3 linked regions of the Mus musculus genome follow. The protein of the gene in region 3 interacts with the protein of the main gene of each other region in a biochemical or structural test. Links are inferred from orthologs where the notes say so. Each region holds a gene or a part of one and is shown on either strand. Other genes may lie near its edges.

Region 1 (3,986 bases), on a different chromosome or scaffold from region 3:
ATATATTTTCTTCCCTCATCTTCCCAAAGCTAATCCCACAGTTTTGAGAATCTAGCCACCCTCCCAAGAAATCTGAAATCCCAGTTCATGACGTCAACCCAAAAGGGATAGCACCTTGTGTTGGCTCAGCTCAGATTGCAAAATCCCATGGGTAACGGAGCACAGATGCGGATGTTAAGGTGTTGGTACTGGAGTCAAAAAGTCTGAAGCGTCATTCTCCGTGTTCTTTCCACGAGGGGCGTGGGGGTGGGGCGACGTCATTTACCCTGGACTGAATGTTGCCCTAAACTTCTCCTTTATATTCAGAACTCTTTCATCCTTTTCTTTAGCTGGGACTGGGGCCTGTGTGTGTATCCGACTGGTCCTCGGTGTTGGCAGTTACATCCACAAACCTTCCCTTCCTTTCCCCATCTACTGCACTTGAAGGAGAGAGCACAGCTCCGCGCGAGAACAGCGCCCAGAGAGCCTTTCTGACAGATGCGTACCCTGCTCCAGCAACCCGCCTGGCTGCAAAGTTTCCTCTAATCACTAACACCCACTTCCTATTCCCCCAAGCTGTCATGCTGGCCAGGTCCCCTCGCGATCAGGGAAGAGCCAGGCTGCCTGATGGCAGAACCCCAGTCTCACAGCTAAATTCCTCCAATCCCAGCAGATAGGCTGTCCAAGGCACTCCTGCGTCTCCGAGACGCCTGTAAGGTTCTCTTATAGCTACCAGGAACCGGGCACTAGAGGCGAGGGAACTACGGGGTGCCGAAGGGAAATAAGGGCGCTCTTGCGGGAGCGGCAAAAGGAGAGCTGGGTGCTAAGGTTAACGGAGACTACTGGTTGGCGGGGGGCACAGGAGGCGGCGGGGCGCCGCAGGGGGCGCCGCAGACTAGACTCTGGAAGAAGCCTGAGCAGGAAAGGGCGCGCTCGCTGCAGCCCGTGGGTGCTGGCTGCGTAGTCCGCCCGCAATCTTTGGAGCCTTTCAATCGCGGGTAGGAGGGGGTGCTGGGTGTTGGGGGTGGGGGCACCATTGTCGGGGGCGTGCCTTGGCGGCGATTGGCTGCGGGAGCCTGACGCGCGGCCCCGGGGGCTGGCTGGGGGGGTGGCAGCGAAGGGGGGGGGGGAGGTGCTGGGTGTTGGAGCCGCCGGCCCCGCGCGCTCAGAAACATGCTGAGGTCCCGGCGGCTCTTCCAGCAGCGACAGCGGCTCCAGCAGCAGCGGCGGCGGCGGCGGCGGAGACAGCGCTCGGCTACGGAGGAGAAGGCGCCCGGCGTCCATGCCTCCGGCCCCGAGCCGCGGCTGCCCTGACCTGGCCGCGACCTCCCCGCGCGGGCCCCGCAGCCCCGGCTCCTGGGGTGCTCCCCAGGCGCGGCCCAGCCCCGCCACACCCCCCGCCCCCGGCCTCCGCAGCTCGGCATGGGCGCGGGGGCGCTCGCCCTGGGCGCCTCCGAACCCTGCAACCTGTCGTCCGCCGCGCCGCTGCCCGACGGTGCGGCCACCGCGGCGCGGCTGCTGGTGCTCGCGTCGCCTCCCGCCTCGCTGCTGCCTCCAGCCAGCGAGGGCTCAGCGCCGCTGTCGCAGCAGTGGACCGCGGGTATGGGCCTACTGCTGGCGCTCATCGTTCTGCTCATCGTGGTGGGTAACGTGCTGGTGATCGTGGCCATCGCCAAGACCCCGCGGCTGCAGACGCTCACCAACCTCTTCATCATGTCCCTGGCCAGCGCTGATCTGGTCATGGGATTGCTGGTGGTGCCTTTCGGGGCCACCATCGTGGTGTGGGGCCGCTGGGAGTACGGCTCCTTCTTCTGCGAGCTCTGGACTTCGGTAGATGTGCTGTGTGTGACGGCCAGCATTGAGACCCTGTGTGTCATCGCCCTGGACCGCTACCTCGCCATCACGTCGCCCTTTCGCTACCAGAGTTTGCTGACGCGCGCGCGAGCGCGGGCCCTCGTGTGCACAGTGTGGGCCATCTCGGCGTTGGTGTCCTTCCTGCCCATCCTCATGCACTGGTGGCGGGCCGAGAGCGACGAAGCGCGCCGCTGCTACAACGACCCCAAGTGCTGCGATTTCGTCACCAACAGGGCCTACGCCATCGCCTCGTCCGTCGTCTCCTTCTACGTGCCCCTGTGCATCATGGCCTTCGTGTACCTGCGGGTGTTCCGCGAGGCCCAAAAACAGGTAAAGAAGATCGACAGCTGCGAGCGCCGCTTCCTCGGCGGCCCAGCCCGGCCGCCCTCGCCTGAGCCCTCGCCGTCACCTGGGCCACCGCGCCCCGCAGACTCGCTGGCCAACGGGCGCTCCAGCAAGCGGCGGCCGTCGCGCCTCGTGGCTCTGCGCGAGCAGAAGGCGCTCAAGACACTGGGCATCATCATGGGTGTGTTCACGCTCTGCTGGCTGCCCTTCTTCCTGGCCAACGTGGTGAAGGCTTTCCACCGCGACCTGGTGCCGGATCGCCTCTTCGTCTTCTTCAACTGGCTGGGCTACGCCAACTCGGCCTTCAACCCCATCATCTACTGCCGCAGCCCCGACTTCCGCAAGGCTTTCCAGCGCCTGCTCTGCTGCGCGCGCCGGGCCGCCTGCAGACGCCGCGCAGCCCACGGGGACCGGCCGCGCGCCTCCGGCTGCCTGGCGAGAGCTGGGCCGCCGCCGTCCCCCGGAGCTCCCTCGGACGACGACGACGACGACGCCGGGACCACCCCACCGGCGCGCCTGCTGGAGCCCTGGACCGGCTGCAACGGCGGGACAACCACTGTGGACAGCGATTCGAGCCTGGACGAGCCGGGGCGCCAGGGCTTCTCCTCGGAGTCCAAGGTGTAGAGAGCCAGGCTCTCTGGGCGCACGGACGCCGCTCCCCATAGTCCCGGGCTGGACACGGGCTCTGCATCCCTAGAGGAAGAGAGCCCGCCTGGGCGCCCCTGAGCCGCTCCCCAGGGGAGAGAGGAGATCTCTGTTTACTCAAGACCGAAAGCAGGTGAATGCAAAGCCCACAGATCTATCGAATCATCCGAGACGTACAGAAAAGCCCCGGACCGAGCGTTTGCGCAAAAAGGAAAGTTTAGGAGGAGTTGGGAGAGTGTGGCTTAGTATGGCTTACTGGCTTGTCTTGAGTTCCTTTCTCTCTGAGGTTCGGCCTTTCGTGTGTTTAATGCACCTTCAGGCATTCCCCCCCCCCCCCGCCCCTAGGTGGGTTTTGACACTTTCTGCAAGGACCCGAGTGGAAACTAGGCGGGGAGGGGAGGGGGCAGGATGGAGTCTATCACCTGGCTTTCCGGTTCCACACCTAGGAACCTAAGTATTCAGCTCAGGTTTGGTGTGGGGGCGGGGCCGGTGATAATTAGCCAGGAAGTGTTTCCCTTTGCTTTCTAAAGAAATTGCATACTAATTCCGGAGTACTGGTGTCTCCTGTTCTTAAAGCAAAGGGAAAAGAAGGATGCGAAACAGACAAATCTGGTTTCGAGAAACTATGTGTGGAGCACGGTTCACCTTGCTTTCTCCTAGAGGGCAAACCTTGTGCCCTGCGCGCCTCGGTGGTCCTGCTGTGGGTCCTCTACCTCACTCTGTGCATATTGCACAGCAAGATAGAAAGACTTGTTTATATTAAACAGCTTATTTATGTATCAATACTAGTTGGAAGGACCAGGCGCTGAGTCTCTCTCTGTGACATGTGACTCTGTCAACTAAAGATAGGACAGAACAAAAAGGAAACAGTTGAGATTATTGCACATGTGGCTAAAAACAAAGACGGCAAAAAAAAAAAAAAAAGGCAGTGGTTGGAAGGCCATTTTGCACAGTGTTAGGCATTGTAAAATTCATAGAAGTTGTTAACTTGCACAAAAAAAATTAAATATTTTTACTGGGATGGGGAGGTGGGCAGATCTTTAAAAAGCTAAAATAAAATTCAAACTCAGTTTCTCTTGTCTATTATGTTATTGAGTTGATGGTTTATTGGGAAGTTACTTTTTATACTCTTATCATGGTACTGTAACTGTATCCATATTATA
Region 2 (4,172 bases), on a different chromosome or scaffold from region 3:
GAAGATTGGAATCACCCCTTCTAAACAGGTCTACATCTGCCTTTGCCCTATTAACCTTTTCATTACTTCTGGTGGGTGGTAGGTTAGAATGGAGGTTGAAGCATTTAAGAACCCTTATTAAAGTAAGTTTTGAAAATAAGACAACACCTATAGGCTTATATATTTGAATGCAAACTCTTGAAAAGGATTAGAAGGATTAAGAGGTGTGGCCTTGTTGAAGGAGTATGTCACTGGGGATGAATTTTGGGGTTTCAAAAGCCCATGCCAGGCCCTGTCAGACTGTCTTCTGCCTGCAGATGGGGATAAAGCGCTCTGGCTACTTCTCTAGCACCATGTCTGCTTACATGCGTCCCATGATGATGATAATAATGGACTACCCTCTGAAACTGTAAGCCAGGCTCAGTTAAACCTTTTCTTTAAGTTTTGCCTCGATTATGGTGTCTCTTCACAAAAATGGATCAGTGACCAAGACACCTGGGCATGGGCCTTGCTCTGGAGTGTGGTTGATATACCAATACTCCACTGGAACAAAACAAAACAACAATTTTCCTTTTCCCAGGAGGTATCAATTGCAAACAGCTTCTTGGTTCTGAGTGGGATGGTGTGTCAACTCTCCCATTCTCAGTGCTAGGATCTTGTCTGGTTTGAACCTGTTGCAGGTCTTGTGCATTCCTTCAATCTCTGTAAGTTTAGATGTGCATCAGTGCTCTTATGTCTGGAGGATACTGTTTCCTTGGAGTCATCTACCAACTCTGGGCCCTAGAATCTTTCCTCTTCTGCACAGAATCAAAAAGGCTTAAATTCACTGCATGATGTGACCAACGCCTCCCAAGAGAATCTAAGGTTCCTGAGAGCAAGCGCTCCATCTGCTTTTGTTCACCTGAATCCCCATCATCCTCAACAGTGTCTGATGCTAGGGCAGGTGCAACTGTATTACACTGAGCACACGTGGAATGAAGCACTGCTTCTGTTCATCTTCAGGAAGTCCTCCTTTTCTGCTCCTTCACTAGCCCATCCTAATTCTTGTAATTCTCAGTCTCAAAGATGCCTTCTTTCTGCACTCTGACTTCTTAAACACACGGTCTGATTGGAAGAGAGGAAGTTTCAGAAGGCAAGAATTCTGGTAAATATTGCCTTAAACTTCAAACTCATAAAAATCAGTACTAACTGAAAGAATCTAGCTCTTTATAGAGTTACTTAATACAATGGGTTTGCCCATGCCTTGATAATGAAAGTAAGGTGTTTGCTTTTTCCTCAAAACCATTTGTCATGATTAGATTATAAGCTATATAAAAGATTAATTTAACATCCTATCAAATGACCTGGGCGTCGAGGTTCACACTGCAATCCGAGAACAGGGGGAGGCTAAGGAAGAAAGACCAGTTTTTAGGCAGAACGGTTTGGAGCCTGCTTGGTGACAATTCCTCTTCTCACCAATAGTCCTATGGATGTAAGACCACCTACAGTCCACCAGTTTCCATGGAGAACAGCTCTGGTACAGAAGTACAATATGAGTTTGTGGCCAGCGTCTCTACACAGGTAGTGAGTTCTGGGGTAACCAAGTTACACAGTGAGAACTTGTCTCAGAAACAAAACCAAAAAAACCCTGAAATCATGTCAAGTGGACCATGGGGATGTCTGAAAAGATGGAGCAGACACAGCACTGTTACTTTAACAGATTTAAAACTGACAGACAAGATTTCTGCCGAGTTTTCTGCCGAGGCCCATGATAAGTACTGATGTTCACACAGTGCCTTATATGAGGCAGACACTATCATAAACTCACTATGTAGACGTAGATTTGAACAAAGTTACATACTTTGTAACTCAATGTCTAACGTTATAATGGGAAACCATTGCATTCAGTACTTTGAGACCATTTCTCATATTTCGAAGGGCAAAAGAATGACAGAGTAGTCCAGACAAATGCCATTTCAATTTCCTATTTAATAAAAATATTATGACTCCCACAGCCTCTCTTCCAGACACAGATTTCTGAAATCAACCTAGTGTTTGCCTTTCCCAGACACATAGAAATGAAGATACAACACAGAATGTGAAAATGTGCTAATAACTGAAAAGCCAGAAAGAGTCTTTCTCTGATCTCTTCATTCCAGGAGCCTGTCCTGTTCTGGTCTGCAAAGGACATTTCATTTGAACAGCCGCTTTTAGGCTGAAAGGGTTGGTATCTGTTCAGGTGACAATTCCTCTTCTCATCACAGGGTCCACGACAGTCTTGATCTGAGCGCCTGCATCCACAACTAGTTTCTGGTAGAGAACAGCTCTGGTGCAGATGTACGGTTCCCCAGGGACGGGGTTAAAGGAGATTGTCAACAAGTCCAACGAGTCCACCCCTTCTACGCAGGGCCGAGCAGTCGCTGTGCAGCCCTCGGTGCAGCCCGCCGGGCAGCGCACTCTCCTCCCGCGGCATTTCTGCCCGGCCTTCCCCAACCTCCCCTACTGCACTGCCAGTCCTTGGTCACCCACCGTCCAGTCCATCCCGTCCTGAGTCTCCAGACTCGGTCCCCGGCTCTCACCCACCTCCCGCCACCCTCACCTCTCGTTCGCCGCCGGCCCGGGTGTGTCGGCCGGAAGCCCCGCGGCAGGTTCCTCGCTGAGCATTGAGACCCTGCGGCTTCTCCTCCGAGGTCGGGGCTGCTTCTGAGCCGCCGGCTCTGGCTCCATGTCCGGAGAAGGGGGGTTGGTGGGGCGGTGGCCCAGTGCCCAGGAGACCGATCGTGGCGGGCACAATGCCCGCCAGCTTCTGCGAGGCAGCAAGTCGCCTTCTAGCAGAGAGCGGCTACCGCCGTCATCCGGGGATTTGAAAATGGCGGCTGCCCAGAGATCGGCCAATCAGAGAGTGGGAAGCGGTTGCTAGGCTACGTGGAGTCCCGCCCTAATCAGAAGACTTCATACCAAACTTTTAGGAGCTCCAGTGACAAAGGGAAAGTGGTAAGGTGAAAGTTAGGAATTTGGGGATTTATTTTAACTACACACCTTACTCCTGAAAGGCAGTCTCTATTCACTAGAACTTTCACTTGCAGGGCAGGAAAATGGATCGGAAGCTGTTTATCATTTGTTGTTGTTTAGCGTTAGACAGGATGAAGGTATTGACCCCAAAGCAAGAGGCAGTTGGACGTATAAACACTAAGTTATACATGTGGAATATATTCCCAATTGCCAAAGACAATACTTTGTTCTCCAGGATGTCTCTAGAGAACCAGTGAAATCTAGTTATGTACTCCTGTCTTTCAGTAAGTAGGACACAGTCGCTTTACCGAATGGAAAGGGCTGCTTTCTCTGCTTGCAAGACTGCAAAACGTGCAGCATGAAACAAGGGACCCTGCTCAGGTTATTATGTGAAGATTGGTAAATAAAAACGTTCTCTGATTTTAAATATCGCTAATGGTCTTAAATGTAGTCTCTCTTGTATACAGGGAGATATTAATGATGTTGTGTATAATAGAAAAATTAAAGGCAATCTAAATGAATGACTGGGAGATGTCTAAATATAACTGATTAACTGTGAAGACTGCATTCAGCCGATAAAGAAATGGTCTTCTTCAGGGAATACCATTGGTTAGCCAATACTAACAGCTAGCCCTGAAAACATACAAATAACATCATACAGACTGAGCTGGCTGTATTTGTGTATTTAGGAACATATATGTATAACATATTGTTACATATTGACTATGTAACAATAATTAATAAAAAGAGTCCATGAATGTGAAAGATAGCAAGAAGGGGTATAGGAGAGAGTTGGGAAGGAGAAAAGAGAAGGGAGAAAATGGTGTGATTATATTATAATCTTGAAAATAAAAGAAAATTAAAAATAAGAGGTATATAGTAAAACAAAACATTGTGATTTTAACTGAAAGCATAAAATATGAAATATAGAACAATGATGGCTAGTTTTATGTCAATTTAGAAAAATTCTGTTTTAGGGTTTTACTGCTGTGAACAGACACCATGAAAGAGACAGCCCTTATAAGGACAATATTTAATTGGGGCTGGAATACAGATTCAGTCCATTATCATCAAGGCAGGAACATGGCAGCATCCAGGCAGGCATGGTACAGGAAGAGCTGAGAGTTCTATATCTTCATCTGAAGGCTGCTAGCAGAATACTGGCTTCCAGGCAGATAGAACAAGGGTATTCAAGCTCACAC
Region 3 (4,351 bases):
TTGGCAAAAGACAGCCCTGATCATAGGACACCTGAAGGCACTATAATAACTGTCAAATCCACAGGCATCTCCCACCACCACCACTAAAGTGCACACAGAGGGGTGAGAGAGAGGAAGGGAGAGTGGAGAGGGAGAAGGGGTACTAGCTAGCTCCAGGGTCTCTGCAAAATAGTGGAAGAGCTCAGCTTCTGGAAGCTTCTTGCCCATGGTCAACAAGTCTTAGGACCCATTTACCACCACCCAGACATCCTGCCATCCTGCCGGATGAGAAATCTTTCTGCAAAATGAGCCTGAACTCAAACCCAATGCTGCCCCCCTCCCCCAATAAATAAATGCCTGTCACAGTGTTATCTCAACAGCTCTACCAAGTCATAAACACCCGGGGAACTGGCATTAAATTCCTAGCTAAAAACTGAATTGCTAACTGCTTAAATCCAACTCCAATACAACTCGCTTTTCCTGAGCACTTACTGTGAACCAGCACACTTCCTCGGTTATGATTTTACCAGAAACTCCTAAGGACAGATTCATCAAGCAAGGCCAAGTAGCAGGATATGGACATTCCACTGTTAGGTGTCAGCCTCTGCGCTCCCAACAGGATAGAAAGGCCTGGCTACTAGGCTCCCCGCACACAGTACTGCGCTCATCCTCCGGTCATCTGGAAGCGGCCTGCTGCTGAGAGCGCTGGCTCTCCCCGCTTTCCTTTGACACGTTTCCTTCAGCTGCTGCCATCCTGACAGGAACATATGGCAACTTTTCACCACATTCAACTCTGCCACCTCCTCTGGTGCTTTCATCTGGGAGAACCTGCGTCACAGCACTTGGGTGCAGGAGGGATGCCTCTAAGGACTGCAGCTATGCTCCGGTGGCTAGCTACAGGATCAGACCATTGCTCAGACCAAACTGCGAGGGAGTACTCTCCCACGGCCATCCTTACCCTACAGAAAGCCATCCTTATCCTACAGACTTCTAGGGGAGGATTTGCTTCCCCACCCCCACCCCAAAACTCAGGTCCCGAAAGTCGTCCCCTCAAGCCCTCCTCCTCCTTGCTCAAGGTTTAACAAAAAAAGACCCATACACTTTTGGTAGTTGTGTGACCTTGGGCAAGTCATTTACCTAAGGTCAGACCCGGCTTACTTATTGTAATATAGGACTTACAAAAACCGAGTCGTTCTTATAGCATTGATGTGAATCAGAATGAGATAATGCAATTAAACCACTTTACAGACAGCCTCTCACATAACACGCTAACAATGAATTGTAACTCTCAACAACCATCATCAATAAGGACGACGGTGCAAGAGGAGGAGGTGGCTGGGTAAACTTGGACTAGATTCGCGCCAAGCGCTAATCACCCCTTCCCCCACCGTAGGTCTCCACAAGGAGGAGACACAGACGTCACCCCGCTGTGGGGTGATTGCGGGCTCTGCAGGAGGCTGGATTAAGGACTCCAGTGGGTTATAACCCAGCCCCACCTGGAGGGGTTGCAGGATGAAGGCAAATTCTGTGATGGAAGAATTCCAATCAACCATAAATAGACCCTCTCCTTCCACGACCCACTCTCCAGTTCAGGGAAACAGGCAGTGGCAAGCCACCAGCTCCGTGAGCTCATCCATCCCGTAAGGGGCTGGGGGAAGCGTCCACCTTAGCCTCCCTCAGTTCCCCATCTGCCTTAAGGTGAAGGCGAGGCTGCGCAGCACTAGGTGGCTACGACCTAGAAGTTGGCAAACCAGACCTGGGAAGCATCTCCCCGCTTCCCGGCGCAACCCCGGCCCCAGCCCGCCACGCAGGTGGGCGCACAGCCCACAACCTCACAACTTTGAGTGCATCTGGTCCGGGCCTCAACTTTGGCTCACAGCACTCGGAGCAAACGGCGCCCCCTCAGGCCTCCCCTCTTTTTCGGGGTGCGCCCCCCAAAGGCACGCCCCGTCTTACCTTGTCTGACGGCTTTGAAGGTGACGGCCTCCTTGCAGCTGTCGATGACTCCCAGCACGTCATAGCGGGGCAAGCCGGACACCCGGACCCCCTGCACCTCCAGCAGCAGCTCACCTTCGGCCAGCTTCGGCCCCTCGCCACCGCCGGGAAGCCCCGCCGCCTCGGCCGCCGCCACCGCCCCCACGTACGGAAACTCCCCATGCTCCGCGCCCCCCAGGACCGTCACCCCCAGCTCGCCCTGGGGTCCCCGCTTCACGGTGCACTCGTGAACGCGGCCAGTCCAGTGGTTCTTCTTCTGGATCACTTTCGACATGATGAGTTACAGCCCCTCCTCGAAAACAAAATTCAAATTAAAGAAAAAAAGAAAAAGAAAAGAAAACTGCTAAAACGAGAGACAGGTGCCCCCACAGCACGAGCCCCCGGAGCGGCGGGCTCACGGGAGAAGCATCTCTCGGAGCGCGGGAGCGAGCTACTCGAGCCTCCTCGCCCGACTCTCTCGCGCTCTCAAGCCATCATAAAACAAACTTTCCGGGCTCCGTGAAGAGCCCTGCACGGGCGCCCGCGAGCTTTGTTTGCATTCCGGTGCCTCCGGGTCCGCGTTCCGGCGCCGACCGCGCTCCCGGGACCAGAGTCCACTCCGGCGCCGCCCGGGCCCGCTCTCCGCTCCGCGGCTCTCTCCACACACGCCGCGCCTGCTCCGCGCCGGCCGGCCGCTCCTCAGCGCGAGGGAAGCCCTTTCCAAGCTAGTTGCCGGGAGCCCTGGAGACGCGACGGCGCGGGGCGGGGGTGAGGGGACGCGAGGGAAGTGGCCGCGGCCCCTTTAAGCAGATACAAAGGCTCGGCTTGTTTTGTTACAGTTCATTCTACTCCGCGCGGCGGAGCGCAGCGGCCGGCTGGAGAGGAGACGCGCGCGCATGCGCCCGGCGGCCGCCCGCGGGCAGGCCCGCCCCACCCCTCCTCCTGGAAGGGAGAGATTCCAACGCGCCTCCCGCGGGGTCCTAGGGCCGACCCTTCATTGACGCCAACTTGCTCCTCTCCCTGCACCCCTAGAATTCCTCCTCTTGCAGTGTGGTCGGCTCAGCCAGAGCCTTTTGGGGGAACACGTGTGCTTGCCCGACTCCAGCTCTCGAACTTTTGGAACACAGAGAATTTGGCTTTGGTGTTTGCAAATCGTTTCAAACAGGTGGGGGCTGGGAGACCAATTCAGCGCGGGGCTCACACTCTTGCTGCCTACCCGGGTCCCTCCTCGTCCTCCGCTAGTGCCTGGCCACGCCATCGCTCACGCGCCTTCCGCCACATTTCCGCGCCTGCTCCCCGCCCAGGGGTTCAAGTCCACATGCGGAGCCTGGCTCTTGTCTCTGTGACCCTGAGGACCCGAATCAACAAGACCCACACACCCTCTGCATCCCTGTCCGCGCCCACCAAACGCACCTACACATACGCTCCCATCGTTAAACTTTGGGGCCAACTTTTTAGGACAAGGAAAAAACTGCCAGCGAGCGAGAAAAGCCAAAGCTAGCGTGGCCTTTTTACCTAAGACTTCTCGCTGGCCTCTCATTGTCCTTCCAGCAAAGGGGGCGGCGGTGGCCAGCCCCCTTTGGCTTCTAGGAGAGCCGAGAAACCTAAGCACTGCTTTGGGGAGTAAAGATCACCGCAGGGTGCGGGTCCTGCACAAGCGTGGGCGAGCCGGCCACCTCGGAATTCGCCGCCCAGAGGCGGGGTCCAGTAATCGGGGCACTGGTGAGGCCGGGACAGAAAGAACAGCCCCCACCGCCAAGAAGCCAGTGCAGTGGTGGCCCTAGCGGTTTTGTTTATTTTTCAGTGGTTTCCAATGAGTTCCTCTTTGGTCACGGACTTGAGAATCTACTAGATAAAAGGAGCTGAGTTGGAGCCACTCAGAGAGATGAGGATGTCACTGAGGTGGGTCGAGAGGATAGGTCTGAAGTTCAGATTCCGCAGGCATCTTAAGTACAACATTAAGTGAAGACCTTCCACTTGCCAAGGCTGGAGGAATACAATCACTCCCACCCCCACCCCCACCCCCTCCTCCACCCCCACCCCCACCCCACCCCACCTCACACACAGAGTTGTTAGAAATAATACATAGGCACTGGAAACTTGCAAAGTAAATAATTTATGGTGGCATATAAAATTTCACAGTCTGATAACTGGGGGGGGGGGGGGTGTCAGAGTCCTTAGTGGTTGGGGTTGTAATCCCCTCTCTAGAACATAAGCATACATTTAAGCTCTTCAAGCCCTGTTTCTAGAGAGCTATTCTAAGTTAATAAGAATGAGGGCCTGGCGTTTTACATCTGTAATCCTGGTACTTGTGAGGCTGAGGCATGGGGACCAAGAATTCAAGGCAAAGTCTAGGAGAGGATGGCCTGGGCTCCCTAAGACTGGCTACACACAAAAA

What was found.
Region 1: the proteins of Magi1 (region 3) and Adrb1 interact in a test that uses a peptide from one of them, tested with the Homo sapiens proteins (2 studies listed by IntAct). The link is inferred for Mus musculus from reciprocal best matches to the Homo sapiens genes MAGI1 and ADRB1.
Region 2: the proteins of Magi1 (region 3) and Net1 form a complex in vitro, tested with the Homo sapiens proteins (3 studies listed by BioGRID and IntAct, with this or other methods). The link is inferred for Mus musculus from reciprocal best matches to the Homo sapiens genes MAGI1 and NET1.

What each region holds. Positions count from the first base shown.
Region 1 is NC_000085.6:56,720,971-56,724,956, forward strand, and holds the start of Adrb1 (beta-1 adrenergic receptor), read left to right. Parts: upstream 1-1,146; 5' UTR 1,147-1,401; coding exon 1,402-2,802; 3' UTR 2,803-3,986. UniProt on the Homo sapiens protein: Beta-adrenergic receptors mediate the catecholamine-induced activation of adenylate cyclase through the action of G proteins. This receptor binds epinephrine and norepinephrine with approximately equal affinity.
Region 2 is NC_000079.6:3,915,381-3,919,552, forward strand, and holds the start of Net1 (neuroepithelial cell-transforming gene 1 protein), read right to left. Parts: upstream 2,841-4,172; 5' UTR 2,686-2,840; coding exon 2,558-2,685; intron 1-2,557. UniProt on the Homo sapiens protein: Acts as a guanine nucleotide exchange factor (GEF) for RhoA GTPase. May be involved in activation of the SAPK/JNK pathway Stimulates genotoxic stress-induced RHOB activity in breast cancer cells leading to their cell death.
Region 3 is NC_000072.6:94,281,075-94,285,425, forward strand, and holds the start of Magi1 (membrane-associated guanylate kinase, WW and PDZ domain-containing protein 1), read right to left. Parts: upstream 2,844-4,351; 5' UTR 2,249-2,843; coding exon 1,936-2,248; intron 1-1,935. UniProt on the Homo sapiens protein: Plays a role in coupling actin fibers to cell junctions in endothelial cells, via its interaction with AMOTL2 and CDH5. May regulate acid-induced ASIC3 currents by modulating its expression at the cell surface.